4 linked regions of the Arabidopsis thaliana genome follow. The protein of the gene in region 1 interacts with the protein of each later gene in a pairwise test. Each region holds a gene or a part of one and is shown in the gene's direction. Other genes may lie near its edges.

Region 1 (6,966 bases):
TACGAAAGAAAGAGTTTTGATGCACGCTCAAGCGTGTAACGCACTTCCCAATCTCAAGCATGCTTGCTCTCTCTAAAGCCTGTCTCATTTTTAAAATCCAAAATATTGTTTTGTCAACTAATTTAAAACAGTTTTTTTTTTAGAAAGCTATTTAAAACTGTTTCACAAGATACACTTTTCGAATATTCATAGTAGTTTTTGAAACCATACTCCAATCAATCTGATTACTTGTAATTAAAGTATGGTCTTGTAATATTAATTTCCAAAGGTGTGATTTTATAAAATTCAAATTTAAGGCGATAACAAAACTTTTGAGCTTACTTTATCCATTGAGAGGCAAGTTTTCCTACGCAACAACAGTTGACACGGAAGTATTAGAACACAAAAATAGTAAATTCAAAGGATTCTTCTATCAAAATATAAGCTTCCAACTCAAAACTAATTGGTAATGAGTGAAGAACGTTATATCTTATAAATATTACTTAAGATTATACTAACTTCTAATATGTGACAATATCTCTAATACGATCCTTCTAAATGATGGCTTTTCTATCCATTAGTCTTGATATGTTTGGGCATAGATTAGTGGACCGATGTGGATTGGGTTGACTATATGCAGATCGGACACTGATACCATATTAGATTATGGGCTTCCAACTCAAAATCAATCGGGAATGAGTAAAGAGACTTATATCTTATATATAACTGCTTAAGTTCCTACTAAACTTTCAACGTGGGACGATATCTCTAATATCGATCAATTCAATAATTTCAACCATGCCGAAAGCTAAGACGATTATGAGAAAAAAATTGTTTTCTTATACGCCGAGCTGGAAAAATGATCCACGACAGTCTATCATTTCTATGCCAAATTATAGTGAAAAATAAAGTCAAGATGTAATTAAGAGACATAGTGTTTATATTTTTGGAAAAAGATCAAAAGGATGCTAAAATTTGAATACCAGATACCGTTACGATTTGGATATCAGTGGAGTCCGAGTGCAATTGTCAGTTTACTATCTTTTGTACCATATATTTTAGAGCGTTTTTCTTAACGTTATCATATATTTCGATAGCGTTTTTCTAAGAATAATGATATAGTCGATTTTAAGAGTATGTACAAAAAACATAGGCTACTTTATGGTTTCTACAATTGATTTGCTAAGTCAATTTTATCATTTGCTTGTACATCAGTGCATGAAAGGAGAAAAGGGAAAAACAGTAAACAGATATGTATTATCTACATGAATGGACATATCTTAGACCTCGTGAAGTACCTTAAAAACTTATAGGAGAAAGAGGGTTACTACTTACTACCTCATCTAGACCTCGATTACGCGATCAAAGCAATACTGGATATCAGATAGATGTGGTCTTATCTATCAAAATTGTTTAGTCCGTTTTCGAGTTTGGGACAAATCTCCTTAGAAACCAGCTAGAATGGCTTAATCTATATATAAGATAATAATAAGTTTAACACCAAGACTTGCCGAAGTTAAGTTACATGTAATGCTACGAGATTCTCTGATACATATGTTATAAAGTGAAGTTAAAACACTTTTCTCAAGAAACACACTTACATAAAAATTAGTCACGAAGGTAAACAAGTGCTAAAAAAAATGAAGGGTCTTCTCCAACAAGAAAGACCGTTTTAACACTACTACTTGGGGTTCGTAAATTAATACAAAATCCTGGAATAAAACCATTTATCATCTTATATCCAACCAAACAAATTAATATAAACACTGTTAAAAAATAAGAAATGAAATTTAAATTAATGATAGAAATAATCGAATTAGGTGTTTTGATTTTTTTTTCTGTGACTACAATATATTTAAAACCCAAAATTTTACAAAAATCGTTTTAGTAAATCGGTTTAAATCTGAAACAAATGCTAAGGAAAGTATTTAACAGTGATTGACATTATGGAAATAATTTAATTTTTTTTGTCCGTTTAACAGTTGGACAATACTAGATTAACAAGAATCAAAATGTATCTCCACAATAATGATGCGATATAAATGATAGTATAAACCAAAATCTTTTTACTTAAACACTTTCCTATCTCTAACATAATTACTTTTTAATTTCCCCCATTCAAATAACACCTAAGTATTATTTTACCTGGTTTTTACTTTTTAACACAATTTAATTGCAAACAAGTAGTGTGTTTTATTAGTTTAAACTTTAAAGTCTTTAGACTAGAGAGAGGAAGTGGCAATAATACTAATCCGGTTCAGTCACTAAACCAGTGTACAATATATGGTTGGTCCTACAAATGATAATTTTTGATAAACCTAAAAAAAATGGTGTATTATATATCACCTGAGGATAGGGATACAAGTTTCTTTTAGGGTGGAAATCCTTATATATAAGTGTAGGGACTACTCACCAAAATCAAACAACTCACTTCAATTTGTAACGGTTTAAACTCGGTACAATATGCGGATTTTGATTCGGTATAATGACATTAAAACACCACTTTAACAAAAACCACTAGACAAATATTAGTCATTTCGGTTCAGTTTCGTTTAAAAATTACGAATTTTCGTATAATTGAGTTTATTATTCCGTTTGGTTTAAAAGAAACCATACAAAACAAAACAAACCAAACTAAACCAAATTGGTTATGTTTCAAAGATTCTTTCTAAGTCTCTCAATAAAATGTTATTTGTTTTGTAATGTAAAGAAAAAAAAAAGAATTGCAGAAAAAGAGTGGATAGTGTTAAGAAGATGATCACACACAATTTCCATAGCCATTTATAGATAGCTAGAAGAGCTAAAGAAGATTCCTTTTTTTAACTCTGCTGGAAAAATCTTTTTGTCTCTCTCTCTAAATCTAAATATTATATACTACTACTCTCTCTCTCTAGACCCCATTCACATATTTAATCTTTAACTCATTTCTCCATCGACGTTCTTGCACATCCCACTTTCTCTCTTTCTTCAACTTGCAAAAAAGATTAAAAATCCAATCTTTCGTTTCTGGGTCTGTTGAAAAACGATGACTGTTGAACAAAATTTAGAAGCTTTGGATCAGTTTCCTGTAGGAATGAGAGTTCTTGCTGTTGATGATGACCAAACTTGTCTCAAAATCCTTGAATCTCTCCTTCGTCACTGCCAATACCATGGTTCCTCTCTCTCTCTCTCTCTCTCTCTCTCTCTCTCTGTTTTCTTGGATCTGTTTTTCATCAAGTTTTTAGATTTTATGTCTCTTTGATCTGTGATTTGATCCACATATGGTGGAATCTTTTGATATCTATCTACCTAACTTCTTGTATACACAAATCTAAAAAAAACTTAGCTTTTTTTATTCCATTGTTAGATTTTGTAAGATTTGACATTTGTCAGAGAGAAAGTTTCATTGTTGAATTGAATTAAAAGTTTAAGACTTTATGGAATCTGTTGCAGTAACAACGACGAACCAAGCACAAAAGGCTTTAGAGTTATTGAGAGAGAACAAGAACAAGTTTGATCTGGTTATTAGTGATGTTGACATGCCTGACATGGATGGTTTCAAACTCCTTGAGCTTGTTGGTCTTGAAATGGACCTACCTGTCATAAGTAAGTCTTATTATTATTATTATTTTCTAATTAAACTTTTGTCATTTATTTCCTTAATGACTCACTACAGGAATAAAGTTTTGATCTCTAGACTTGGTTTTGTGATGATGATTTTCTTGTTGTTGCAGTGTTGTCTGCGCATAGTGATCCAAAGTATGTGATGAAGGGAGTTACTCATGGTGCTTGTGATTATCTACTGAAGCCGGTTCGTATTGAGGAGTTGAAGAACATATGGCAACATGTCGTGAGAAGTAGATTTGATAAGAACCGTGGGAGTAATAATAATGGTGATAAGAGAGATGGATCAGGTAATGAAGGTGTTGGGAATTCTGATCAGAACAATGGGAAAGGTAATAGAAAACGTAAAGATCAGTATAATGAAGATGAGGATGAGGATAGAGATGATAATGATGATTCGTGTGCTCAAAAGAAGCAACGTGTTGTTTGGACTGTTGAGCTGCATAAGAAATTTGTTGCAGCTGTTAACCAATTGGGATATGAGAGTAAGCTTATCAATATGTCACTTGATATGAGAGTAAGCTTATCAGTATGTCACTTAAGTTCTGTTTTGTGTGTGTTGTTTTGATTGCAGAGGCTATGCCTAAAAAGATTTTGGATCTGATGAATGTTGAGAAGCTCACTAGAGAAAATGTGGCCAGTCATCTTCAGGTTACAAAGAATCTTTCATGTTTTTAACTTGCGTAACCCGAAGATTTGTTTTTTAACACCTCGGAAGCTTATGACTTTGTTCGCTGTGGTTTGCAGAAATTCCGCCTTTACTTGAAGAGGATCAGTGGTGTGGCTAATCAGCAAGCTATTATGGCAAACTCTGAGTTACATTTTATGCAAATGAATGGACTTGATGGTTTCCATCACCGCCCAATCCCTGTTGGATCTGGTCAGTACCATGGTGGGGCTCCTGCAATGAGATCTTTCCCTCCAAACGGGATTCTTGGCAGACTCAATACTCCTTCGGGGATCGGTGTCCGCAGCCTTTCTTCTCCTCCTGCAGGAATGTTCTTGCAAAACCAGACCGATATCGGAAAGTTTCACCATGTCTCATCACTTCCTCTTAACCACAGTGATGGAGGAAACATACTTCAAGGGTTGCCAATGCCTTTAGAGTTCGACCAGCTTCAGACAAACAACAACAAAAGTAGAAACATGAACAGTAACAAGAGCATTGCTGGGACCTCCATGGCTTTTCCTAGCTTCTCTACGCAACAAAACTCGCTCATCAGTGCTCCTAATAACAATGTCGTGGTTCTAGAAGGTCACCCACAAGCAACTCCTCCAGGCTTCCCAGGACACCAGATCAATAAACGTTTGGAGCATTGGTCAAATGCTGTATCCTCTTCGACTCACCCTCCTCCCCCGGCACATAACAGTAATAGTATCAATCATCAGTTCGATGTCTCTCCATTACCGCATTCTAGACCCGACCCCTTGGAATGGAACAATGTGTCATCAAGCTACTCTATACCATTCTGTGACTCTGCCAATACATTGAGTTCTCCAGCCTTGGATACAACAAATCCCCGAGCTTTCTGTAGAAACACGGACTTCGATTCAAACACAAATGTGCAACCTGGAGTCTTTTATGGTCCATCCACGGATGCTATGGCTCTGTTGAGTAGTAGTAACCCGAAAGAAGGGTTCGTCGTAGGCCAACAGAAGTTACAGAGTGGTGGATTCATGGTTGCAGATGCTGGTTCCTTAGATGATATAGTCAACTCCACGATGAAGCAGGTGTGACATTAAAGCTTTTGCCAATATTAACCATTCTGATTTGGAGATTATTGTGATTTCTGACATGAAGATTTTGTGAATGTGACAGGAACAGAGCCAGGGAGATTTGTCTGGAGGAGATTTGGGATATGGAGGGTTTAGTTCACTCAGAACATGCATATGAGAGAACAAACATTTAGACATAAATCAAATATCATCATCTTGTTTGTCTCTTTTTCTCGCTAATCTTTTGTGTATTAAAATTGTAAACTATTTGTTTTCCCACTGGTTCTAGCAATTTAGGACTCCATTAAAGAAAACAACAAAGAAAAAAGGATTCATAAATAAACTTTCTTACTTTTTTATTTTAATGTATAGTTGTCCCTTTTGTGTATGAAACCAAAATTCACGGGCCTATGAAGAAACAACCCTATAGAAAAAGTCTATGAAGAAAAAGTGATGATGACGAATTTTAAAGCAACAAAGATTCCTTCGTACACTCGAAACCATTATGTTAAAGTCAACCCAAATTTGTATTATAACATTCTTGTGTTTGTATCTTACATTATTTAGTTCAGTTTTTGAGTTTGATTGAGAATAGTAGTTAGATTGAAACAGACGACGTCTAACCGGAAACATAACCGGACTTCATCGAACCTATTCACACACTGTTAAAAAGCTTGAGGTGCATAACCAAACAGCTTTGATTGAGAAACTATAATTTCATGATTTTCCAAAAATAGGAAAACATGAAGAATATCAAAGTTAGCCTAAAATGTTACCAATGTTTGCATAAGCAGAAGATAGGTCTTACAAAAGGAAGAATAAGTCTCATACATGTAACCAAAGATAATACAACAGTTCCTACTTCATGACCCCTTGGGTCTTGAATCTTGATTTACCAGTTGAGTCAATCAACGACCATGTTCTTTGGCTTCTCTTCTTCTTTGGCTTCTTCCATTTTTACATCAACACTTCCACTAGCTTCAGCAATGTTCTCCTCTCCCTCCACCACATTCAGATCGACGACGCCACCTCTTAACGGTTTTGTTTCTTCGGCCGTGTCCTTCATCTCAACATTGTTTAGGTCTGGCTTGGTGTCGTCTTCATGTGACTTGGATTGATCAGATGTAATCGAAAGGATTGTGTTAATGTTACCATTGATAGATTTGAGTGCACGGAAGCTCTCATTCACCTTGGTACTCGGTGGTTGGTTGTTTACATATGCTTGGACTGATTCCCGAGCGTTCTCATCAAGAAGTTTGCACATCTGAATAACCGGAGAGATATTAGTGTGATATACTAGTTCTAGACATTAGCCTACCACCAAAGGAAAAAAGCATAGCTTACCTGGTTATAATGTTGAGCTATTTCGACCCGCGCTTGGTTGTTGTCAACAGCAGCCCCCATAATTTCTTCTGAAGCTGCAGCGAGATTCAGAGAGCTCACATTAGAATCAACAACTCGTTAAATAAAGAAACTTGTGATGGAACTTACTGATAGGATCAGTCTTAGGAAGTCCATCAAGCATTTCATCATCAACCTCAATAAAGCTCACTCCCACTGTGTCAGCGATCTTTGGTTCAGCTTCTGGTTCTTCAGTAGGGATAGATGATGAGCCACCAAGTCCCTGCAACCAGAGATTCAATCAAAGTTAAACAATTCAGCGCAAAA
Region 2 (5,340 bases), 7.5 Mb from region 1:
GAACCCTTATCTCTATTTTTCTTCTTTTCATTTAGTAATAGTTGTATTATATCTTTGGTTTCATTTTCAGGAATAATTAATTAGAAACCAATCCACTTCATCGTAGTCGTAAATCAATCAACCTTCGTTGAAAAGAAAAAAAAAACAACAACTTCAGTTTCGTGATGATTTCAAATTCGTCTTGCGATAGTCGTGAAATTCATCAATAGAATCTGTTAACAGTACTACATCATCCATTGATCCATAATCCATTTAAGGGAAATAAAACAAAACTAAATGACATTATAGTTGCTTTTTTCTTGTCGAGCAAAAAGTTTCAAAAGATGTATCCATTGTTTCTTTGACTAACGCGACCTATTGATAGCCAATATTACCATTTAGGAATGAAAATGAATCGAAAGTACTCGTTTATATGCGAAACTACTACTACTATTCAAAGAAACTCTACGTTACTTTTTCTTGACACACGACAATAATTGGTGATGAATAAAGCTAGAAAAGCTGATAGAGAGAAAATACATAAGTAGAGAGTAATCAAAGAAAGGACAATTGACGAAACAAGAACAGACAATGTGGGGAAAATGGGATAGAGTGTAATGGACCAGCCCCCTATTAATGTTCGACCCCATTCTTATTATTTTCCTTCTTATCCCCGACTTTCATTTTTCTTCTTGTCTATCTATGTTCATATCGTGCGCTAACACCCAAATTAATCTTCTTCCCTTGAAACATGTTTTAAATAACGGCACAAATAGTAAGCGTAGATTCATAAATAACCCCAAAGTAAAACAACAGAAAGCATCATTAATTATCCGGTGGAGACGAGATGACTTGTGTGAGGCTGGAAGTCCGCGAGACATACCTTTACGTCGGTGCATCGCAGAATAGACGTGTCAACGTTTTAATATAATATGTTGAATAATCGAAGAGTAAGACCCAAGGATAGTTAATGCCAATGTATATCCATGAGAACTTCTTCTAGAAGACTATAATAAAGTAGAAACCTTTATAAAGTTATAATCAATCATAATATTATTGATGAATCTTATATTCAAACGAAACTGCCCTCGCAATTTTCTACGTAAAATAATACGTATTACAAAATTAAAAACACATGATGATATCTTACAACTTATAACAACTAAGCACAAATTTTTTGGCAAAACATAAAGAATCTATACATATGGACTATTCGTGAAAGAATTTGTTTGATAGTGCGTGCACATGCCAATATGAAATGAAAATGTCCATCATACATATTAATATACCTGTTTTAAATTGTAGTAAATTAGGGAGAAACAGTTCACGAGATGTTTACTTATCGGTTGACGGTTGCGTCAGTGAATACGACTCATTCCTTATTACTCCATATTATTTGTCTTTGCATAGCTTCTAGAAGCTTTTTGTTATTTCAAATAAAAAGTGATGGTAAAGACTAAAAAGCTCACTACTGGTCTTCGTGAACTTTATTATCAAGATGTCATAGATTCGGTTTCAATTGACACTGAAATGGAATAGTAATCTAGATATCTAGTTGATAAACTAGTTTAAAAAGTTATTAGTTCAAACTGTTTTTAAACTATAGACGCTATACAGTGGTAAAAGCGTTAAACAAAAAGTGCGGCGCAGTATACTGTCAATTTAATTTGTGATTATAATATACAATATTGTTACCTAACTTCACTTAACCAAGTAACCACTGACCTAACTTCAACTATTTGCCTTTACAATTTACATCATGAAACAACATGGACATTTCTTGAATTTTTGGTTGATATTCAAATAATCAAATTCTTATGGAGTATATGATTTACTCCACTGTTAGTTGTTCATTTTGTCCTTATGAAAGTCTTCTAGAAGCTTTCTACTTTTCCTGTTTTATGAAAAGATTGTTTTAACAAAAGCACCGTCTTCATGAACTAAACCAGTTGTTATAGATTCCATTTCAAAGTTTTATTCCTTATTAAGGAAATCGCATCAAAGTAACCCATGTGTTGACTCTTGCCTGTTTGGTGAGATTGAAAGGGAATGATTAAGAAATAAATTTTTAGATACGTTTGCGTTTTGCAACATACACGAATCTTGATTTTTTTCATACGCTGCTAAATCAAGTTTATAGGGGTTTTTAAAAATTTAAACGAACCGTCGCGTTATTTCAACCGCAAGCAAACTCATCCTCCTCTTTCCCTATTTAAAGGCTCTGCCACCTCTTTGTAGCTTCACACTCACTCAAATTTAAATCGCAACTTTCGTCAGTTTTTGTGTGTTTTCTTCTACACATAGACACTTTGCTCAATCAAACACACTCTCTGTTCTGTTTTTCTCAAACTTGTTTAAGTTCGATGACTATGGAAGTGTCGAAAAAGAAAGGTGGAGATTTTCAGCAATGTCACGAATTGATTCCCGGTTTACCTTCCGAACTAGCTTTGGAGTGTTTGGTCAGAGTTCCGTTCCAATTCCAATCCGCCATGAGATCCGTTTGCCGTTCTTGGCGTAGCTTACTCTCCGACTCTTCTTTTATCCAAGAACGGCGGAGATGCGGCAAAACAGAGCTTCTCCTCTGCCTCGTTCAACCGCTAACGCCGCCAATTCCAGCGTCTAAATCGGTTGACGAGACATTAATGGTTGACGAGAAAAAATCAGAGGATGAGTCACACCCGCGCGTTTTCTGCACGCCGCGTTTTGGATTGAGCGTTTACAACGCTGCGATGTCCACGTGGCATCGCGTTGCGTTTCCAGAGGAGGAGCAGATCCCGCTTTTCTGCGAGTGCGTCGTGCTTCAGGACGCCGGGAAGATTCTGCTCATCGGCGGTTGGGATCCGGAGACGTTACAGCCGACGAGAGACGTTTACGTTCTGGAATTCGCCGGAAGGAAGTGGAGACGAGGTGCGCCAATGAAGGAATCACGATCATTCTTCGCCTGCGCCTCCGTAAGTCCAACGAAGGTATACGTCGCCGGAGGTCACGACGATCAGAAAAACGCTTTACGCTCGGCGGAGGTGTACGACGTCGAGAAAGACGAGTGGTCGTCGGTTACTCCGATGACGGAAGGAAGAGACGAATGTCAAGGATTCGCCGTTGGTATGGGTCTAAGGTTTTGCGTGCTGAGCGGTTACGGAACGGAATCTCAAGGAAGATTCCGATCTGACGGAGAAATTTACGATCCAGCGACAGATTCATGGTCGAGAATCGACAACGTCTGGCGATTTCCAGATACTAGCCCGAGAGGTCGCACCGCCGGAGACTTTAGAAGCTCCTCTACGTTATGGTGTTTCACAGACACTGATTTACAGAGTGAACGTCGATGGGAAACTAACGATGATTCGAGAAATTTGAAACTGGATCTTCAATCTATACAGCTTCCGATGACAGGAAGCTCAGTTTTCGCCGGAAGCTTAGGAGGTGAATCGGTGGTAATGATTGGCGGTAAAAGAGAGAGTGAAGGTGAAGGTGAAGGAGGAGTGATGATGAAGATGACGACTGAGAAGAAAATGGGAAAATGGAGTCATCATGTTCATATACCTTGTGATTTCTCTACTCTTCCATTTTCGCATGCTTCAATCTATGTTTGAAAATCCCAAAAGATTTTATAGTACAACATTGTGTTCTGATCTGATGTAATATACACCAACACATATAAAAAACAAAGAACTGGTTAACAAAAGGAAAAAAAGAATTGTAGCTTGAGATTGTTAAAATGTTTGACGATGATCATGATCAGAGCATTTGCCAGTCATCTTCACGTTCATCCTCGCTGTCGTCATCCGCAAACCCGTAGTTGCTTTGGTTTATCGCTGTGTGGGTTTGAGTCACTGTGAACAATGGAGCACCGTTTGATTCCTCAGCTAGTTTCAATGCTCGGAGACAGAAATCGTCGAAATCATCTGTTGAAGATTAGGGAAAGGTTTTTTCAAGTTACAGAATTTAAAAACTTTTGGTTTCAGAGAATGTAGTAATACAATACCTTTGTCGCGGCAATAGAATCCTAGAGCTAGAGATGGGTCGAGTGATTCCAAAGGAACATAACGAAGGACACTGATGCAGATTCAAGATAAAATTAAGAAACAAGATAAAACTGAACCAGGCAAAAGTCGTCTGTGACATGATAATTTGAGGAGACTCACTTGCAATGATAGGAGGATGTGTCAACATCTGGTGTTTCCTTGTTGACTGTGACCACCTAAATCAATCATCAAACGATAAGTCTCAATCAGTATCCGACTTATCATGTGAAATGGCATCTTATCCGACTTAGGTACTATGGACCACCACAATGCCAGACCAAGATTTATGGACTCTAAAAAAATTCAGAGGCACGAAATGAAACCTGTTGAACTTCATGCGGATCAAGGTAGAAACCTTTGTCTTCTTGAACACCAACTATGTAAGTTGAGGCACCTGGTTTGCCACCCAAAATCCCCACGCTCTGAGGAAAAGTGAATGTGGCTACGAGAGATGGAATGTACCTGTCATCAGATTATAGCAATACGTCAGAAAGGTCAAGTACAAATACGAGTCGAGCATAACAGAGATAATGGAATCAATTTCACAGTTGCAAACCTGGGATTCACACTGTCAAGCCCAAGAACCAGTGGAACCAAAAGGATAATCGGTGTCCACTCAGACTGTCCTTTTGAGAATTCTAGACAAGATTTGGTAGCATCTTCTATACAGAGAATTGGAGCCCCACCTCTCTCTCCATCTTCGCTGCCAGAAACGATATGAACAGCCATAGGAAGCGTCTGGTTTTTAGAATCAGTTTGTTTTCTCTTCTTGCACGCTAATGACTCCCACGCTCGACAAATGGCATACGGTCCTACCCATGACCCAGCAGCGAGACCATAGGACGCTCCAGCTATTATAAGATTGTGGATGGAGAAAGCTGAAGGCTCGGAATCACCAAAAGGTTCCAAGGTCTCTAAGTATTCCTGTTCAGGAAGCTGCATTTTTAAATCAAACAAGCATGAGGTTTCCACTATCTCAATGCAAGAAACCGGGTTTCTGTTCCTAGTGTTGCTACATTGAGCTTACCTCAGATTTCTTAGTCCAAGCCCTCCCCAGCCTATGGAAAAGCAACGCCTGATAATATTTGGTTTGTCAGAATATGTTATAAACTTCAAAATCTCATGCCAAAAGAAATACTCTTCCTCACACCTGAGCAAAAAGCATCTGGCTACTTCGAATCATGCAACCCCAGTTCACATCGCTGGTATAAGTTGTGTCTCTAAAGGGTTCAAAACCTGTAAAATACAATTCGTAAATGGTAAATTTTATGTAAAAAACTTTATTTTGGCTTTAATCTGTAGTTGAGTTTACAAACCTTTACGATATGTCATCAGT
Region 3 (5,608 bases), on another chromosome or scaffold:
GGATGGCTTAATAAACCCGCGCATGGTACGTTATGCATGCTCAAAAAATGTTTGGCAAAAGAGATGATCGGTCCGAAAAATGAGATTGTCGACATTCGGATAAGGGCCTAATGGTAGATGTTTTCTGAAATCTACTTAGGGAGTGACGTGATTCACTTGTCTTTAGAGCTATTTATGTCGATTGTAATGTAGACATACCGTTTCACTCGTTGGTCTCATCTAGTATTGATTCTTTTAACATGTCATTTAACTGCCATAGGTTGATTGGCAACCAGAAAAATTATCTTCGTATATAGTATATTTAAGTCAACTTTACAGAAACTATTATAATTTCGGAGGGGACAAACTTAGGATTGGATACGTCATTCTTGTTAATATAATACATATACGATCATTAATATTTTGCTATGATAATATTGTATTTGTATGAAACTAACAAGCTTTAATAAAAATCGTTGTTCTTCTGGATGGTTTAGCCAATCTCTCTAATACAATTATTCAATGGCCGACAAACAATAGAGAAAGGATACACAAAAAAAAAATTAAAATAAGAGGATGGAAGGAACCACAAATATTGAAGTTTTCAATTTTTAGGCTGTTTCTTTTCTAATTCCTTTTTCACGTTTTCTTTTGCGCTTAAACAATATTGAATTGTTAATTATGAGTATTGTATAGTACACTGGTCACTTTTTGGATAAGCCGTTCACATGGAATCAAATGAAACTAAAATATCAAATTGATTAGAAAGATGTTTAAAATATGACAGTTGTCTTAGAACAATCTCATGCTGATAGAATAAACACATTGATATTATAAAACGGAAATAAATATATACAATATGCACCTTTGAATTAATTATGCGTACTTCGAACAAATGGTTAGCTTAGTATCTACTATATTGTTTTAAATGTCTAATTTGACATACATGAATGTAACAAAACAACGAAGTCAGTGAAAGTGACAAGGTGTTGCCTCTTTTAAAGTCGCTTTACCTCCTATGGTTTCGTCTTATCGTCTTGTGCGTTGGGCCACTTGTGCCAATTATCATTTTCTTAATGATCTGGTGAATTTAGAACCAAGTTTGTACTTTCATATCTTTAACAAATTATGCAACCATTTTTAAGACCTTATAAAAAGTGACCAAAAAAGGTACTTATGTGATAAAAAAAAAAAAAACAGATGGTGCGATTCGTCGTTAACTGCAATCTACATAGCAACGTTTCAAACCATCGAAACATCGTCTCTAGACGCTTTGGTTTAAACTAACCAGTCTTTAACTCCCAAGTCCCAACTATTTGAATAACTCAACCATTAATTTTATCCGTGTATAATACGATAGGCTATAGTATTAGAATATAATAATCGTTTGGTTGGCTATTGGTTAACATGTCTTCGTGAACATTACCGCACATGGGATCACATGGACCTTTGTATATTTCGAATATTTTAACTATACAATACTCTTGACTTTGTTTATATATATTTTAAAAAATGTTGGAATATAGCATAGATTTAGATCCCTACATGCATTATTCATTTTTTTTTTATATCCACTACTCGGGCTAATTTAATACTACTATTTTTATATAATCTGTCTCTACAACGTGGTAGAACAGCTTCATTAATACGTTACTTGAAGATTCACTAATTATTTATACATGTACACTTCAATAATTACGGCAAAAAGGTAACGTTAATTCCACGTCGAGCATCTTAATATTACTAGCTATTAGTCACATAGATAACTTTTCCTTCATTCGTAAAGTAACCCGTAAAAATTACGATGCTTAACGTGAAACGGTGAAATATGAATTAATTATTTATCCAACATATAATCCGATAGATGTCATTTTCGTGTCAGTACACATTTAGTCTACGATATAACCAAAAAAAGAAAGACATAAAGAACGATTTTTTAATAAACAAAATAGATAGTCGAAAATAGATTAATTAACAAGACTTTGATTTAGCTAACTTGATTGCTTGCAAAACTGGTCTTAGATCTAGAAATCCAATGACCATCACATCATTCAACATGTCCCAATTGGTACACCGTCTCCATCATATAAACCAAAACCCGCACATTAATCCCATTAACCGAACGGTACTCTCTCCGGACTTCTGTTAACTTCTCCTATCAAAGTTACGTTTATAGAAGAAATTCATGTATACATCGAAAAACAAAATGTCTTAAAAGCAAAAGAATTCAAACAACATTGAACTTTTCCTATTGACGAAAAGTCAAAACTTTTACTTTTCTAGTCTTCTTAACCAATTATCTCTTGTTGGAATCGTAAATAGGTTAATAAAATAAATACATATCTCTATAATTTAAAATGGAAAAAAATATCACCAGTTTACTATTTTTTTTGATTTAAATTATAAACTTTATACTTAGGATTATGTTGATTTCCAATTAAATCATTAATTTTTCTTGACTAAACCAATTGAGATACTGATTTTTTTTTTCAGCGCCATCAATTGATTTAGACACGAGAGATTACTTCGAATTCGAAAAAAATAGAAAATCCGAAGTAGAGGAGAAAATCCGTATAAAAAGGTAGAAAAATTTGAAATCGATTTTAGAGATCTAGGGTTTGTGGTTTGGAAAATTTCTAATAATGTGTATTAACTGGATTAGTCAACGAGAGTTCGTAATTAAATTGAAAATCAATATAAAATTAAGGATTTAAATCACTAGGTCAAAAGTTCATGTTCTAAAACCAACAAAAATGGTAAACTAGTGCTGATTTAAATGATATTTTTACCAATTGAAAATACACTTTCCTTTTTTATTGTTCTAGAAGACTTATCCCTCTATAAAGTAGCCACACTCTTCTGTCTTCTCTCATCACCTCATTCATATCTCTCTCAACCTGAACATTTTCATTTTTTCTAAATCAAGAACTTCAAATCTTGAAACTTTCTAAAAAGATGGAGCTTATTCCTGATCTTCCCGAAACTGTAGCCTACGAGTGTCTCCTACGCTCCTCCTACAAGCAATTCCCTCTTATGGCCTCTGTTTGCAAACTCTGGCAGCGAGAAATCAGCCTCTCTGATTTTTTCCGACACCGGAAAGCTTCAGGACATAGTCAAGAGCTTGTTGTCTTGTCTCAAGCTCGGGTCGACCCGGTTAAAGAACTCGTATCGGGTAATAAAACCATCCCCACCCCCGTGTACCGAATCTCGGTTCTTGAACTTGGTACCGGTCTAAGGAGCGAGCTGCCTCCGGTTCCAGGTCATTCCAACGGGTTGCCTCTGTTCTGCAGATTAGTCTCTGTCGGGTCGGATCTTGTTGTATTGTGCGGGCTTGACCCGGTTACATGGCGTACCTCTGATTCGGTCTTCGTTTTCAGCTTCTTGACCTCCACGTGGCGCGTCGGGAAGAGCATGCCAGGTGGACCGCGTTCCTTCTTTGCCTGCGCTTCGGATTCTCAACGGAACGTCTTTGTGGCTGGAGGACACGACGAAGACAAGAACGCGATGATGTCAGCTCTGGTGTATGACGTGGCAGAAGACAGATGGGCTTTCTTGCCGGATATGGGCCGTGAGCGAGACGAATGCACAGCTATTTTCCACGCTGGCAAATTCCATGTCATCGGTGGTTACTCCACGGAGGAACAAGGGCAATTTAGTAAAACTGCTGAATCGTTCGACGTCACCACATGGCGGTGGAGTCCACAAGGAGAAGAGTTTCTCTCTTCGGAGATGACTATGTGGCCTCCGATTTGTGCTGCCGGTGAAAACGGAGATTTATATGCTTGTTGTCGCCGTGATCTGATGATGATGAAAGATGACACGTGGTATAAAGTTGGGAATCTACCTGCTGACGTGTGCAATGTATCTTACGTGGCGATAAGGAGGTCTGGAAACCTGGTTGTGATCGGTTCGGCTCGGTACGGCGAACCAAGTGTAGGGTATAATTGGGATATGAGCAATTCTCGATGGTTAAAACTGGAAACACATGATAAATATGAAGGCCACGTTCAAGCTGGTTGCTTCTTGGAGATATAAAAAAACTTTAGAAAAGGTTCCGAATCTTTTGTACGTCGTCCTTGCGAAATGACGGTAAATTTGGTCGGTTGATTTTGTCAAGTGTGACTGTATAAATATTATATTGTTATAGATAAATTTGTTAGCTTGAATGTAAAAAAATTATTGTCGAGTGATTTTATAGTTTTTAATCTTATTTTTTAAGTTGTTGTGTGATGTTACTAAAGTTAGTGGTAGATTTTATATTTGGGTTGCCTAAATTTTCAGCCATGTACTATTTGGAATCTCAACTTTCCTACTTAAACTTTTAGCCACTTGAAAAACCACCATAAACAATTTTAATCTCGATAAAACTATATGTACTTTCGGATTTGTTCTTAAAACTACGCCTCCAATTGAACCGACCAGTTAACCGTTAATTATACATCTGGTTTGACTTATCCATAATTTAACCGAAATTAATTCGATTTAACTCTATTTTAGCCTAATTTTGACCTAAATGTAAATAAATTGCCTTATTAAGAAGTAAAAGTGTTTTTATTAATTTTTATTTGTGATAAAAAATTAAAAATATTAAGTTATAACTTAATTTTAGCGAAAATTAATATGACAAAATATACCTCAAATTATATTTTGAGCTACATTTTGTTATAGAATTTTGATAATATACAAGCATATACATTTTCTTTTTGGCAATCATTTATATTTTTTTATAAATTTAAAGCTATGTCTTTTTTTTAAACAAAATATTCATTTTTCTTGAAATCATAATATATGACCTTTGAACTTTATATATGTAATGAAATTCAAAATATATGCCAAATTAATTTTTATATATATCCGTAAACACCACAATCAAAGTATATATTATGGTATTTATAAATTCATTTTTCTTTATAGATTCAGTTTTCTTTTTATATATTCAAGATGAGTTATATATATATATATGGTTATGGTGTTTTTAAAAAGAAAATGTCCTTTGAATTATTAAATTTAGAGTATATACCAAATACATTTATATATATAACACCATTTTATTTATAAAAAGAATTTATTGTCTATTTTGTTATATTATTTTGCGGTATATTTTTTTATTACCAAAATATATACTAAAATTTTATTATATAATTTTGTGTGGTATATTTGTTATTTTATTATTTTGGTAAAATTAATTAATTAATTTTTAAGTTTTTATCAAAAATAAATAAAAATAAATAAAGTATTTTTCTTCTAGAGAATATATTTTTTGGGTCTAAATTGGGTTAAAATAGAGTCGAAATCGAATTAAGTTCGGTTAAATTTCGGGTAAGTCAAACCGGATGTATAATTATCGGTTAACTGGTCGGTTCAATTGGAGGTGTAGTTTTAAGAACAAATCCGAAAGTACATGTAGTTTTATCGAGATTAAAATTGTTTATAGTAATTTTTCAAGTGGCTAAAAGTTTATGGTGGAAAATTGAGATTCCAACTACTATAGGGTTGAAAATTCAGGCAACCCTTTATACTTTACAATTTAATGTTAGTCCTAATAAGCCCAACTAAAGTACACTTACTCTATTGATCTAACGAAGCTTACAAGGACAAGAGTGTCGATACGTTATGTTAGTCCCATTTC
Region 4 (5,411 bases), on another chromosome or scaffold:
CTTATCCTGTCTGTATGTACGAGAGCTGTTTTATTTGATGTCGACCGCATGAATATCCAAATGATCTATTGCATGTCTTCGTAACAATTTGATCCCTACCATTAATTAATATGCAAAATAATAATGCATATATGATGAAGACGTCGAGTGCCTAATAGAAAGATGCGGCGAGTCAAACTATCTTTTGAGACATATATACTGTTTAGCTATATATCTTTTCAAATGAACATTTTCCTATGTAATTGGCCAGCGTTTTCTGCGGTGCCAAAGCTCATATTCTCTCGATCATCTAACTGTAAACCTTATTACTTAGCTCTGGCAGATGTTATTATCTTTGCCGGTTTGCTTCGAGGCTTTGTGCTTCTAATTTAATCAAGTGTCGACATAATTGGAAAAAAAAACGAGTAAAATGCAAATAAATAACGATCACATATATAAAGAAGTAATTAAACTCTTTTGGCTAGTTATTTCGTGTGTTCTTCGTTTTTTTCCAATTTGCTTGGCGAATTTTCTTGTGAAGAAAATACTTGTTAAGAGATTTGAATAATTGAACGCGACCAAAGAAGAGTATGAGAATTGAAAATATCGACACGAACATTGATGAAGTGGGTCCAACACTCCCAGTACCAGTCTATTCGGGCTATTCCTATCTACGAAGAATCGGATTGCTTCCGTCGTTTATTGTTTAGATTTATCAAAGAGCCAGCCACCCGACGAATCACGACGACTCTTCTTCCCCCCTTTAAGGATGTTGACACCGTGTCGTTTTGTCACCTTATAGAGTTATAGTCATTCAGACGCCGTGCCGTTTTATCAGTTAGAGTTATTTTCTTCATGTTGAACCTTTTTTTGTCAGCCCGTTTTATCCCACGTTGAAGTTTCAATTAGCTTATTTTAAAAAATATTAGATCGGAGTATCTTTTGTCTAATTAACCAAAACTCCAAGTTACTACATTTATATGCAAATACATGAATGGGTCATAGTAATCACAAAACTATTGTTTTAATAAACCAAATATATGCGTTAAAGATGTTTACAGCTTTATACATATGGCGGACACTAGAACTAGTCCAACCTGCATGGAACATGCTACTAATTCCCTAAATATTGTATTATTCCGTATTCAATTTTGTACAGCTACGAAAAATAGAGTATTGTACATAAATGTCCATACGTTACAGATTAAATTAGTAAGCAAAAATGCTTTGATTAACGAGTATACGCTTTTGAGTACGGAGACAACATTTCGTTTCTTTATGTCACACGCGTTAAGAAGTTTAATAAAGATCATATATAATTACGACAAATATCTGTATATATTGTAGCTATATTTATAAAAACATATAACTTTGGTCATCGGTAATAGTTTAAAGATGTCGAGTATCAATACAGATTTAAATATGGCCGACCAAAGATAGACACACACATACAGACAACAACAAGCCAAATAAGAATCAAATAAATTTTTGTCAAAAAAAAGGGAAATTCTACAAGTGAAATTAGAGAAATTATCTAGAAGGATTTTAGAGGAAAGACTCCAAGGCATTAGTCTTTGAGCTGGATTTGGATTTCATTTTAATAAAACATAAATTAATCTTTAAACGCTATTATGTGCTTGGATTATGTACCACATAATGCGAAGGAAACATCTTTGTAGTTTTGCGTTCTTCATATAATAATATTTTGCCGTCGTGTATGTGTAGTATACATATATTCATCACTTTAGTATACAAGTTGCCACAAAGTTCTGTTGTTTATAATAAAACCAAAAAAAAAGAACAAGTTCTGTTGTTTATAATAAAACCAAAAAAAAAAAAAACAAGTTCTGTTGTTTGGAATTAGGAGATCGATTTAAATTTTTACAAAGCAAAAGGGTGTGTGTGGTCCGATTAATATTTTAGTATATGAGAAAAAGAAAGGGTGTGATCTAAATTATAGATTCAGAAGGTCCATTCAAAAAGTACAGTCTTTTATGTGTAGGTTTTAAGTTTTTTCATTATTCTTAAACGAACAAATGATAGATTAATTTTATTCTGTTTTTTGTTGTGCGCACTAGTAAGTGTATACTCTATAGCATTAGATAGAAAACAGAGTAACATGTCAAAACAACATCCAAAATCTAAAATCAGTATTAGTCGAAAGGCCTAATTCGATATTCGGTAGTATATTTTACCGTCTATGTTTAGATATATAATCTGTTGTTGACTGGAATTCGAATGCTAAATTACTAAACCTGACCAGAAAAATATCAGGAGAAAATGAACTTGGATATGACATCCATCAACTTGTCCCAATTGGTCCAAAGTCTCCATCTTTAAATACAAGACACAACCATTAACCGTTTTTGCCCATACTAACTCAAATTCCGTTATCTTCATTTTATTTGATTTAAACTATAAAATATACAACACAAAAATTATATTAAAAAAAGAAAGAAACGATGAATGAATCAACAAGTTTTCTAGAAACACTTATCTTCAAATATCTATAAAGCGGCACACTCTCCTCTTTCCCATCATCATCATCATCTTCTTCAACCTTGTCTCGATCCAAAATTTCATCTTTTACCAAAACTATTACAATATCCCTCACTCTACTTGTAAAGCTTCAATCTTCTTCACTTCTCAACAAACAGATAAACAAAAAGCTTCAATCTTTGATACTTTCTCGATGGAACTTATCCCCAATCTTCCCGACGACGTTGCTCGCGAGTGTCTCCTTCGCTCCTCCTACCAACAGTTCCCTGTCATCGCCTCCGTTTGCAGAGCCTGGAACCGTGAAGTCTCTCTCTCTCAGTTTTTACATCAGCGAAAAGCTTCACGCCATAGCCAAGAGCTTCTTATTCTGTCTCAGGCTCGTGTCGACCCCGCTGGATCCGGAAAGATCATCGCTACGCCTGAATACCGGATCTCTGTTCTCGAATCCGGGTCGGGTCTTTGGACGGAGCTTCCTCCGATTCCTGGTCAAACCAAAGGACTTCCTCTGTTCTGCAGATTGGTTTCCGTTGGATCCGATCTTATTGTCTTGGGTGGGCTTGACCCGATTACGTGGCAGGCCCATGATTCGGTATTCGTCTTCAGTTTTCTCACTTCCAAATGGCGCGTGGGGGCAACCATGCCAGGTGTACGGAGGTCCTTCTTCGGATGCGCTTCGGATTCGGATCGGACGGTGCTGGTTGCGGGTGGACACAACGAAGAGAAATGTGCGCTTACGTCAGCTATGGTGTATGACGTGTCAGAAGACAAGTGGACGTTTTTGCCGGATATGGCGCGGGAACGAGACGAGTGCAAAGCGGTATTCCATGCTGGCAGATTCCACGTCATCGGTGGATATGCCACTGAGGAACAGGGGCAGTTTAGTAAAACAGCCGAATCGTTCGATGTGTCTACGTGGGAGTGGGGTCCACTTACGGAGGACTTCCTCGACGACACCGGCGATACCGTTAGCCCTCCGACCTGCGTCGCCGGTGGGGATTTGTACGCGTGCTGGGGTGGCGATGTGATGATGTTTCTAAATGACAAGTGGCAAAAGGTGGGCCAGATCCCTGCTGATGTGTACAATGTTACTTACGTAGCGGTGAGGCCCGGGATGCTGATTGTGATCGGCAACGGGAAGGCGTTGGCTGGATACGGTGAAGCCACCGTAGGGTATATATGTGATTTAAGTAGCTCACGATGGGTAAAATTGGAAACACACGGTGGTCATGTTCAAGCTGGCTGCTTCTTGGAGGTCTAATGGAAAACCTATTCATCTTTGGAGTTTGAACCTAAACCGCAACAAACCAATGGGTAGTCTCGTGTGTCAATCTACAAATCTTTTCATGAACAACAAAATAAAGAAATATTGTATTTATTCAGTGTCACTTTACCAAATATTTATGTTCTCTATACAAAACTTCAAAAGGAAGATTTGAACTTTTAGGTTCTCTATACAAAACTGATCTAATTATATAATTGCAAGCAAACAAACTTTCGAAACATGTGTCGACACAAAACTTTTAAAGTTTATTAAAGGAGCCTTGATTTTGGTATCCAAGAACTTTAATGGGTTTCATAGACTAGTCCTATTAATTTTTTTACTCGAGGCCCAAATAGACCAGATTTTGAATGATGAACTTTTGATCTTTAAATGGGCTTTTGGATGGGACTTGAGACAAATGGATGGCTAGGATTAGAGCAGAGGTTTGAAATATGGATTACACCTGAGGGGCAGAGTTCGAAGATAGACTGACAACAGACTTTAAAGAGAGATGCAGAGACACCCTCTGTTACAAGTAACATCTATTTAATATCGATACAAAAGAAAAGTGCATTATATTTTCAGCAGGAGAATTAAATCGTAGCCGTTGAATCTGCAGAGGAAATAGGCGCCGCTTCGTTCTGCGTCACAGCTTTGTCATTAAATCCAACGGCTGGCAGCTTTATGACACACACAAACAATTGAATTGGAGCAGTGTTAAACTGTACAGAGAATTTAGCTTCTTTAGTTTCTTTCTTAACCAAAAAGTCAACACATTTTTGTATCTATTATAAGTCGGCCTATTTAGCCTATCTTTTCATTCATCTCCATACACACATCATCAACTTTATTGTAAGGAAAAATTTAAGATACGAAGACGATTACGCTAGCTTGATCGTTGTAGACTTGTCAAAAAGTACTACTTTCCAAAAGAAAATTGAGCATTGTGGTTATATTATCTTTTTTCAAGAAATTTAGAAACTAGATAGCTTGTGTTTTGGATCCCACGTATTAATGGTTAGATAAAAGATCTAAAAAGACATTGATTTATATGCTCGTGAAATGATGTCTTCCTTGACTAATGTAAGTAATTGCCGCGTATAGAATAAGATTTTTTTGTATTCCAAAAGGAAGTGGAGTACACGCGCCGAAATAGTTGACCCTTGAAGAAAAAGTTTAATGAAGGATGAAAAAAGTCTAGGTTAAATGGAAAACGGATATTAACTAGCCCTAACAAAAATAGTAAAAAGCAACAGCAAATATCACGTGTCCCCAACTTACGATTAAATAGCCTAAAACTCAAATTATACGTTCTAAATTAAGACTAAGAGTCTCGATGATTATCTTCATGAATCCGGTGATTAGTGCCGTTAGGAGAACGAAGAGGAAACAGGGGCAAAAGCTCCGGTGCCGGCTCGGAGCCGCTTCTCGGACTCGGAAGGAAGTAGAACCCTTTTTCCGCTATGGCTTTTTGCTCTTCCTTGTCCGGTTGCGCGTGGTGTTCCTCACGCGCTGAATGTGGACTCACGCGCGCCCAGAATGGGTCTAGGTGAGAGACGGGAGAGACGAGGAATCCTCGGTGGAAATGGCTGAAAGCGTCGTTAGGGTTTGTGATGTTGTTGACCTTAAGCTCCATTTTCTTTGATGATTGACGCCGTTCGTGGAGTTTGAA

What was found.
Region 2: the proteins of RR12 (region 1) and AT2G44130 interact in a protein complementation assay, tested with the Arabidopsis thaliana proteins (one study listed by BioGRID).
Region 3: the proteins of RR12 (region 1) and AT1G15670 interact in a protein complementation assay, tested with the Arabidopsis thaliana proteins (one study listed by BioGRID).
Region 4: the proteins of RR12 (region 1) and AT1G80440 interact in a two-hybrid assay, tested with the Arabidopsis thaliana proteins (one study listed by BioGRID).

What each region holds. Positions count from the first base shown.
Region 1 is NC_003071.7:10,723,000-10,729,965, reverse strand, and holds RR12 (response regulator 12), read left to right. Parts: upstream 1-2,693; 5' UTR 2,694-3,004; coding exon 3,005-3,131; intron 3,132-3,411; coding exon 3,412-3,564; intron 3,565-3,692; coding exon 3,693-4,067; intron 4,068-4,156; coding exon 4,157-4,233; intron 4,234-4,329; coding exon 4,330-5,313; intron 5,314-5,401; coding exon 5,402-5,476; 3' UTR 5,477-5,665; downstream 5,666-6,966. Other genes in the region: PKL (chromatin remodeling factor CHD3 (PICKLE)), read right to left, coding at 6,203-6,562, 6,643-6,716, 6,790-6,922. UniProt on the Arabidopsis thaliana protein: Transcriptional activator that binds specifically to the DNA sequence 5'-[AG]GATT-3'. Functions as a response regulator involved in His-to-Asp phosphorelay signal transduction system.
Region 2 is NC_003071.7:18,251,389-18,256,728, forward strand, and holds AT2G44130 (Galactose oxidase/kelch repeat superfamily protein), read left to right. Parts: upstream 1-2,221; 5' UTR 2,222-2,342; coding exon 2,343-3,572; 3' UTR 3,573-3,666; downstream 3,667-5,340. Other genes in the region: AT2G44140 (Peptidase family C54 protein), read right to left, coding at 3,718-3,884, 3,965-4,035, 4,125-4,180, 4,328-4,466, 4,561-4,940, 5,032-5,079, 5,155-5,240, 5,321-5,340.
Region 3 is NC_003070.9:5,387,185-5,392,792, forward strand, and holds AT1G15670 (Galactose oxidase/kelch repeat superfamily protein), read left to right. Parts: upstream 1-2,767; 5' UTR 2,768-2,934; coding exon 2,935-4,014; 3' UTR 4,015-4,488; downstream 4,489-5,608.
Region 4 is NC_003070.9:30,239,092-30,244,502, forward strand, and holds AT1G80440 (Galactose oxidase/kelch repeat superfamily protein), read left to right. Parts: upstream 1-2,360; 5' UTR 2,361-2,671; coding exon 2,672-3,736; 3' UTR 3,737-4,085; downstream 4,086-5,411. Other genes in the region: AT1G80450 (VQ motif-containing protein), read right to left, coding at 5,064-5,411.